2 linked regions of the Rattus norvegicus genome follow. The protein of the gene in region 1 purifies or fractionates together with the protein of each later gene. This does not show direct contact. Links are inferred from orthologs where the notes say so. Each region holds a gene or a part of one and is shown on either strand. Other genes may lie near its edges. The genes, in order: Erbb3 and Grb2.

What was found.
Region 2: the proteins of Erbb3 (region 1) and Grb2 purify together in Homo sapiens (affinity purification with mass spectrometry; 3 studies listed by BioGRID and IntAct, with this or other methods). This does not show direct contact. The link is inferred for Rattus norvegicus from reciprocal best matches to the Homo sapiens genes ERBB3 and GRB2.

What each region holds. Positions count from the first base shown.
Region 1 is NC_086025.1:1,597,322-1,601,684, forward strand, and holds the start of Erbb3 (receptor tyrosine-protein kinase erbB-3), read right to left. Parts: upstream 3,059-4,363; 5' UTR 2,937-3,058; intron 2,779-2,936; 5' UTR 2,593-2,778; coding exon 2,511-2,592; intron 352-2,510; exon of another isoform or gene 1-351. UniProt on the Homo sapiens protein: Tyrosine-protein kinase that plays an essential role as cell surface receptor for neuregulins.
Region 2 is NC_086028.1:101,385,368-101,389,174, forward strand, and holds part of Grb2 (growth factor receptor-bound protein 2), read right to left. Parts: intron 2,718-3,807; coding exon 2,595-2,717; intron 1-2,594. UniProt on the Homo sapiens protein: Non-enzymatic adapter protein that plays a pivotal role in precisely regulated signaling cascades from cell surface receptors to cellular responses, including signaling transduction and gene expression.

The sequences.
Region 1 (4,363 bases):
CCCTTCTCATTCCCTCCCCTAAGCCAACATGCTCCAGCTCCCTGGGCACCACTGTGCAGCCCTGAGTGCTTTTCACCAAACAGAGAAGCCCAGAGAGAGACAGAACAAAGCCTCCACTCCAAAGCCAATTTCATCGTCAGAAGGATTCTTTAAAGAGACTGCTAACATGGCAGTGTTCCCCAGTAGGCACTCCAGGAGAGAGCCCAGAGGAGAGGCCATTTCAGTTCTTGGGCTTTCACTGTCTTCCCTGGAGCTCTTTCCTGTGGTGCAGTAAAAGCACATGGAGAGGAGGGTGGGGGTAAGGGGTACACCACCTGTTCTAACCACCCTTCCCTGAGGCGGGGCAGGGAGAGAGAGAGAGAGAGAGAGAGAGAGAGAGAGAGAGAGAGAGAGAGAGAGAGAGAGTCAGAAAGCCCAGTTTCTCTTGTTAGGTACATGTCTAGTTTGACCCCTTCTAGATCATCTTCCCTATCCTCTCTCCATGATGGAAAGAGTGGGCCAGTTCCAGCAAGAAGCTAGAAGCTCCCAGAGGAACCTGGGAACTCCAGGGTCCTTGGGCTGAAATAAAAGACTAGGAAGGTTAGTCATTTCTGGAACAGCCCCACCCCTGTCCCCTTCCTGGCAGGACACCCCTCTTCCAAGTTAAGGTGCCAACCCTTCTCAGATAGGGGAGGAGCTAGGATATCTGCACAGGGAAGTGATGTGTACCTGTGCGTGCGTGCGTAGTGTCACACATGTACGACTGACACACAAACATGTACACAGTTACCCTGGCACAGAAATAGATAGTGTTTGCCCTGGAACCCATACTCAGAAGCATTACAAGGGGCCAGTCCATCCTGCCTGCCCACAATGCCTTGCACACTTTGTGTCTTGTGCTTTGCAAAGCCCTACAGGGCTCAGTTACCTGCCACCCTGAGGGTAAAGTCCAGATCCCACAAACAGGGGCAAAGGGCGCAGGCGGACAGGACGGGAGCATAAACAACCACCCAGGAGGGACCAAGCAACCTGGGGATCACGGCAAGGAAGCAGTGAAAAATACCGGGTGGGGGTAGGGTGGACAACGCTCACAGAGGAGCAAAGGATCAAAGTCGGAGCCTTTCTCTGTAGAGAGTATTGACTGCACAGACCAAGAGCCTCCAGCCCCTCAGATGCCTCCCCTCTATTGCCACATACACAAGGGGACAAAGGGGCTATACAAGGCTTGAGACAGGGCCGGATGCCCAGAGGCTCAGGAGGAAGATAAAGGGTAGACAAGCAAGCATGCCTGCTCCCTGCCTCTTGAGGAGGGTGGTGGGAGTCCCGGACTCTTGGGTTCTGGTTGGTGGGGGCAGTCAGATGGAACTGTGTTCCAGTCACTCCCCTGGCCCTCCCCCCAGTCCCAGACCACCCCCTCCACCAGCTGGGAGTGTTCACATCTCAAGATCCCAGGGGCTAAATTTAGGCCCAGCAACTGTGGGGGAAGCACAGGTGGTTTCTCCCACTCCCACTCTGCGGAAGGGGCACTGACTGTGCCAACCCCCAAGCAGAGATCTTGGGGTGGGGTGGGGGGAGCAAGATCAACAGGACTCTAATTATACCAACTCCGGTGTTCTTCAGGTGTCTGTAGTCCCAGAGACACCCGTAGGAAAGGGCTCATATGGCACCGAATGGGGGGAGGGCACAAGTTGGGTCTGGGAGCCAGTTCACAGAATAGAATGTTCAGAAGGTGGGAGAAGTGACCTCAGATTGGAGAGAGAAATAGGTCTGATTGTCTTTTTCCCCACAGCCCCAGAATAGGGTATAATACCCTGGAAATAGTGTAGTGTGTAATAGATGCCCAACATGTTAACTGAATTGACCTGGGTCTTGATAAAGAGACGTTGGTTAAGTTGGGGGACCGGCTTATCTTATGGGAAAGCAGGCAGCCAGCTCTGTGAGACCTCTCACTGATGTCACCTGGACTTGGCCCTCAGGTTAATCTCAGCCTTCTCAGGACAGCCCCACTCACGGAAGAGGAGGTGCCACTCTTGTTTTTCCAACATTAGAAAACAACAACTTCCAACCCTTGCATAGCCCCGCCCTGTCAGCAAAACAACGAAACTGGGGGGTTGTTGAAACCTGGGATGGGGTGGGGGCCAGGGAACCTGAGAACAAACTGAGACCCTTCAAGTCAAGGCTCCTTACGTTTACAGAAGGGTCCCTGCCCGCCCTCCTCCCAAGGCTCTCAAGTGTGAATCTACTGTTCTTCATTAACCAAATCAGAATAAGACCAATTAGAGGGTCAGCGACGCCCTGGGAAGAAGGGTAGGCATCCAGGAATGCAGTCCCAGCCCCCAGAAAGCTCCACTCCAAGAACCGAGGCACACGGCCCCCTCCTTGGTGGTGCGAGCAGACCCGGTGTCGCACCCCCCCCCCACACACACTCCCCAGTTCAAAGAGTCAGTGCCCGAACTCCTTGCCCAGGGTCTGCGAGCGTTCAGGTCACACGCTCCCAGCTTCCAGACTTCTGGGGCTCCCGCGCGGCTTACCTGCCTGAGAGTTGCCCATCTCGGAACCCCGGGCCAGGCTGAGAAGGAAGCACAGCACCTGCAGAGTCCCAGTCGCCCTCATGATTCCAGCGGATGGTGAAGGGAGCCCTGCCGAGTCTGGCCCGGGGGCCCCAAGATTAGGAGGACATCGAAGCGAAAGCCACCTGAACAGCCAGCGAATAGGTAGCTGCGGCCGCAGCGGAGGTTGCAAACTGCAACTGGAGCCGGAGTCAGAGTCCGGAGCGGGGCGGCAGGGGAGGGTGTCTGTCTGGGAGGGAGGGACGGAGCGAAGGGGGAAGGGGGTGAGTCACGGCCGCGCCCCCTCCCGTGCGAGGCTGAAGTCCTGATGGTTGTAGCCCGGGACACCCGCCCAAAGGTGCTCCGCCAGCCCGCAGCCTGGCCAAGAGGGTCAAGGAGGGGTCTTACTCCAGCAATTCCCTCCGGAGATGGTTCAGAGGAGATCAAGATTCCAAACGACCCCAGGCCGGGGAAAGGTAGTGACTGCGGGTAAGGAGAGCGCTCCGAAGCCCAGCCCCCAGAAAGCTGGCCTCGCCCATTAACCAAATCACTCAACTCCCCTAGCCGGTTGGATCACTTGAGGGATTTTTTTTTTCCTTCTTTCGTAGTGTGAGTATTTCAGTTTTTTCGAGTGGGAGGTTGTTTTTTAGCCTAGCGTTCATGCCACCTCAGTTTCCCCGGGACGCAAAGCCCCGTAACTCATGTACCCAGCTCGGGAACCCGAGCCCCGGAGACCGCGTGAAATTGCACTGTCTCCGGCCGCTTCCTCCGGCAGACCCGGCGCCGGCTCGGCCTCTGGGGGGATTTGCCTGGGGGGCGGGGGCGGTTTCCAGCCTGGGAACAGACCGGGGAGTCCGCCTTCCCACTTCAGCCCGGGGAGGGGCTCCCGCACCTGTCGCCGTCCCCTCTGCTGCCCCCCACGGCCGCCCGAGAGAACAGCTGTCTCCGAGGGACCGACCGCGCCGTCCGGGCGGCCGCGGTTCCCGCCTCTCCTCCGCGGACCCAAAAGGGCACAGCAACGCTCACACTGGGAGACGACAGTGAGGAGGGGAGCGGAGAAGTCACCGCACATGGCCCACGGGACCCAGGGTTGCTGGGTCCCGGACGGGTCCGACTGGCGCCCCCTGGTGCCCAACCCCTTGCATTTCGCAACCCTTACATTGGCATTCCAAGATTTTGAGAATTTATTGTCCCCTCCCCCTGGGCGAAGACTATGGACTACAATCTTTTCTTTTCTTTTGTTTATTTTTTTTTTTTGGTTTTGAAACAAGGTCTCATATAGCTCATAGAGCTCAGGCTGGCCTCGAGTATATTATGTGACTGACACTGGTGTTGAACTCTGAATGGTCGATCTTTCTGCTTCCACCTCCCAAGTGCGCCATGTCCCCACTCTCCTGCTACAATTTTTTTTAATTTGTTATTATTCCTGTATGCATGATCGTTCGTACTTGTTTCTGCTACGATATGTGTACGGAAGCCGGAAGACGACTTTAGGGGCACTTGATTATCTCTTTCCATTTTTACACGGGTTGGGAGATGGAATTCAAGTTACCAGACTTTCTCTGCAAACACATTTAGGTATCTGTGGTGGCCAGAAGTTGTTGGTTGAATCCCTGGTAACTGGAGTTACAAATTGTTGTGAGCTGTCATGTGGGTCTGGGTAAGAAACCCTAGTTCTTTGGAAGAACAAGTGCTCCCAAACACTGAACCATCTCTCCACGTGCCCCATCCCTTGCCCTCTTGCAACGATTCTTTAAACTTGCTATTGCGTGGGTGTGCCTATCCACCCTTGGCCTTTCCTGGACCTGCTATGTAACAGTTACACTATTAAAAGC
Region 2 (3,807 bases), on another chromosome or scaffold:
ACTGAGCTTTCAGCTGGGGAGTGTAGGGCCCCAGTGCTTCCAAACACCCAGGGCTAGTTTGAAACCAGATACCAAACTCCAGATGCACTGTTTTCCCCTATAGACACACATAATCTGATAAAGTTTATTTTCACTGAAACAATCACAACAATATGCCATCATAAAAGTTATCTACAGTCCAGGAGTTATTGCTGGAATTTCCAGCTGGCCTGTGGTAACTGATGGAGGAAAGCAAGCCTGAAGTGGCTGTCCACTTCCTCATGTCTCCACTGAGAAGCAATGGAGGTGGTTTCAAAAGGACTGTGGCTCAGAATCCAAAGGTCCTTCCTGTCTGGCTCCAAAGGCCCAAGGGCCTTTTGTGATGCACCTGCTTCCGGAGTGCAGGGTCACTCCTACCACGACCTTCCCGCCAGGCTCTGCAGACCTGGAAACCAGTGTACTAGCTTAGTTAAGTCTGGTGCTGATCGAAGGACCTGTGTAGGTGCTTCACTAAAGGCAGTAGGTAGTTCATGCTATCCTTGTGTGCGTGTGTGGGTATGGGTATGAATGCATGTGCATGTATGTGGAAACCTAACGTCAATGCTGGATGTCTGCAGTATGTCTCTCACTGGACCTGGAGCTCACTGATTACACTAGGCTGGCCGGCCGCAGCTCCAGGGATCTCCTCTCTCTATAACTTCTGCACTGTGGATCCTCACTCAGGTCCTCTTGTCTGCGTGGTAGTTACCAACTGAGTCATCCACCCCGGACATTTTATTCCTAAAGTGATGGCTTACTAACATCTTTAAATGTTTTCTGTTTAACTTTAAAAACCACATTTTCTAGATATGCATGTGTGGTAGGCACAGGCACGGTCAGAGGGACTCCTGAGACTCAAAACACAGGTCACCTGGCTAGATAACAAGTGCCTTTACCCACTGAGCCATGTCATCAGCCAGGGTCTCAGTTAGCTCAGGCTGATTTTGAGCTCACTATGTAGCCAAGGATGACCCAGAATGTATAATCCTCCTGCTTCAAGCTCCTAAGTGCTGAGACTACACTCAGTTGTTGGCAGTGCTTGTGCTAGAGATGGAACCTAGGACTCACTGTGCTAATCAGGCATTTCTATCTCTGCCCTGGGTCTCCATCCCTGCAAGGCTGTCTTTCATGGACGGCATAGCTGGCCTTCCTGCAGGTGCTCGGGTAGAGGTGGTGGTGCTGAACACAGGCCGGTCTCCAGCCCAGCACTGCCCAGGGGCCTGGCCACTCCCGACTGTCTAATCATTGTCTCCCCTTCCTGAGCTGTTTTACTGCTACTTGGAGCAGTTCAGGCAAAGGAAAGACATACAAGCTACTGAGAAGTCTAAAAATGCTAATTCTACAAACCAAGACTCTGTATGACCCTTACTTACATGTGTTTAATCAAAAATGTAAAAAAAAAAAAACCCCAAACCTAGTTATAAGAAGAAACTGTTATCATACTCAGTTGAAAAAAAAAAGTTTGAGGCAAGCCTGGTCTATAGATAAAAGTTCCAGGACAGCCAGGACTACACAGAGAAAAATCCTGTCTTACAAAGCAAAACAGAAAAGTATGCAAACCTTCTGAGGTATCAAAGCTCACCCAAAGCTCTCACCTCTGCATTCAGACACAGAACACAGCTTGGTTCTGGTGCCCAGAGCTTAAGGCCTGTCATTCCTTTCCATGACAGGGAAGTGAAGGCACAGGACTCGGAGTTCAAGGCTGGTCTGAAGGAGTGCACTCCTTCACTCATTAATCGTGGTGCTAGTGATAGAAGCCAGGGCCTTCAATGTACTACAGTGAGCTCTACATTGAGACCCTGGTTGGTGTATTTAAAAGACAAAAAAAGCCAGGACTAGTGGGGTGACTCAGTGAGGCCTTCTGCTCAGACCCGACAAGGTGGGGTTTAAACCTCAGACCCCACAAGACAGCAGAGAAAGCAAGCAGACTCCTGACAGTCTGTCCTCCTCTTCCCTGGCTCGGAGTCAAAGACACTGGGCTCCCTCACCTCGTTACAGATTAATAATGAGGAGGAGGGAACAGCTGGCCATGCCTGTAAGCCCAGTACTCAGGAGACTGAGACAGGCGAACTGCCATCCATTTGACGAGTTTCTGCTACCCAGCAAGTTCCTGGACAGCCTGGGGTGCAGAGAAGAGTCTGTGACTGAAGAGTTTTGGGGTAGGCTTCTGCAGTGACACAGTAACTAGAAGGGGAGGATCGGTCAGATGTCTAACTCTGGCTGGCTTGGAAGTCACAGAGATCCAGCTGTCTTTGCTTCTCACGTGCTAGCTTAGAGGCCAACTCCTGTTTGGATTTTTGAGAGGACACCCACTAGGCTCATGGAAACCAAGTGTCGGGTCCAGGTGAGCAGTGAAGGCAGGCGGGATGAGAAGTGGTGCAGATTAAACTGGCCCTGGGTGCTGTCAGTTCCCATAGGTTCATGACACTGCAAACCTAAAGCTCGGATCTGCTACAACTAGGTTAGAGCAAACACTAGGATGTCCACAGGAAAAGACAGGTTAACATCTTCCCAGCAGCCTTACAATCCAGTCAATGGCTGCAGCTTCTCTGGCAGCTCCAGCAGGAAATACTTACTTGACTGACAGGGAGAAATCCCCAGGAGCGCTCTCGCTCTCTCGGATCAGGAAGGCCCCGTCATGCCGCTGTTTGCTAAGCATTTCTTCTGCCTTTGCTCTGGGGATTTTGCCAAAAAACCACCTAAGGAAGGAAGGCAAGCCAGTCAACATCTGCCTCCCCACAGAGAACTGGGTGGGATGCACAACCTGGCATGTACATGGGGACACTTCTGTCGGAGAGAAGGAGGGAGGGCAGAGCAGGGCAGAGCATTACCTGCTGGCCTCTTGCCTAAGGCTCTGGGGCTACTGTTTGGCTCAGGGCCTTCCTGAGTGACAGAGCTTTCAAACAGCTTCACCCACTCCACTCTACAGATCATGATTCAAGGCAGCAACAAGGGCCACTCTTCAGGCTACAAGGAGACCACTCCTAACATGCAGTCTGAAAGCCAGTGCCCAAGGCCAAAGCTGCCCTGCCTCTCCCTCACTCATCAGGTGGTACCTAGGGAAGCCCAGATACCCAGGATAAGGGCAGAGGGGAAGACAGGCCCTTGGAAGCCATTTCATCATAACAGGAGTGCAGGGCTGGCTGGCTGACATCTGACTTGGAGGTGTGGAGTCTGCGACAGCACAGAGGGAAGCTGGACTGTGAGGAAGTAGACTCTAGGTTGTGGTTGTGGTGTCCCTTTATTCCCAGCACCCAGGAGGCAGACAAAGGCTCTGTGGTTCGAAGTCAGCCTCGTCTACATAGTTTCAGGACAGCCAGAGCTACACAGTGAGACTGTCCTACCTTACCTCATGGATCTGAAATCCTTTCATATGCACATGATAACCCCAACAGTACCAGACCGTCTGCCTATCAGTGACAAATCATTATTTCATTATGGCTATCATGCACAGCTGTGTCCCACCATGCCTGGTTTTATGTGGTGCTGGGTGCTAAACTGCAGGTCACTTACTATGAAACCTGTGTGTCATCTGCCGGGCACGCACGACGCGCACTACAGCACAGCCACTGTGGCTGGTTTCATTGGACCCAAGTGCATCGCTAGGTGGCTGACGGTCAGTGTATAACTGTCCTCTTCCTCTCCAAACAAAGGAGGTGGGGGAGGGCTGGCCTCGTTGCCTGGAGGCACCACACTAAGCACCGTGTGCATTATTAGACCGTGTGGCAGATCCAGAGTGGGAAGTGCAGAAACAATCAGAAGAGGTGGCCTTCACAGCAGTGTGACCTG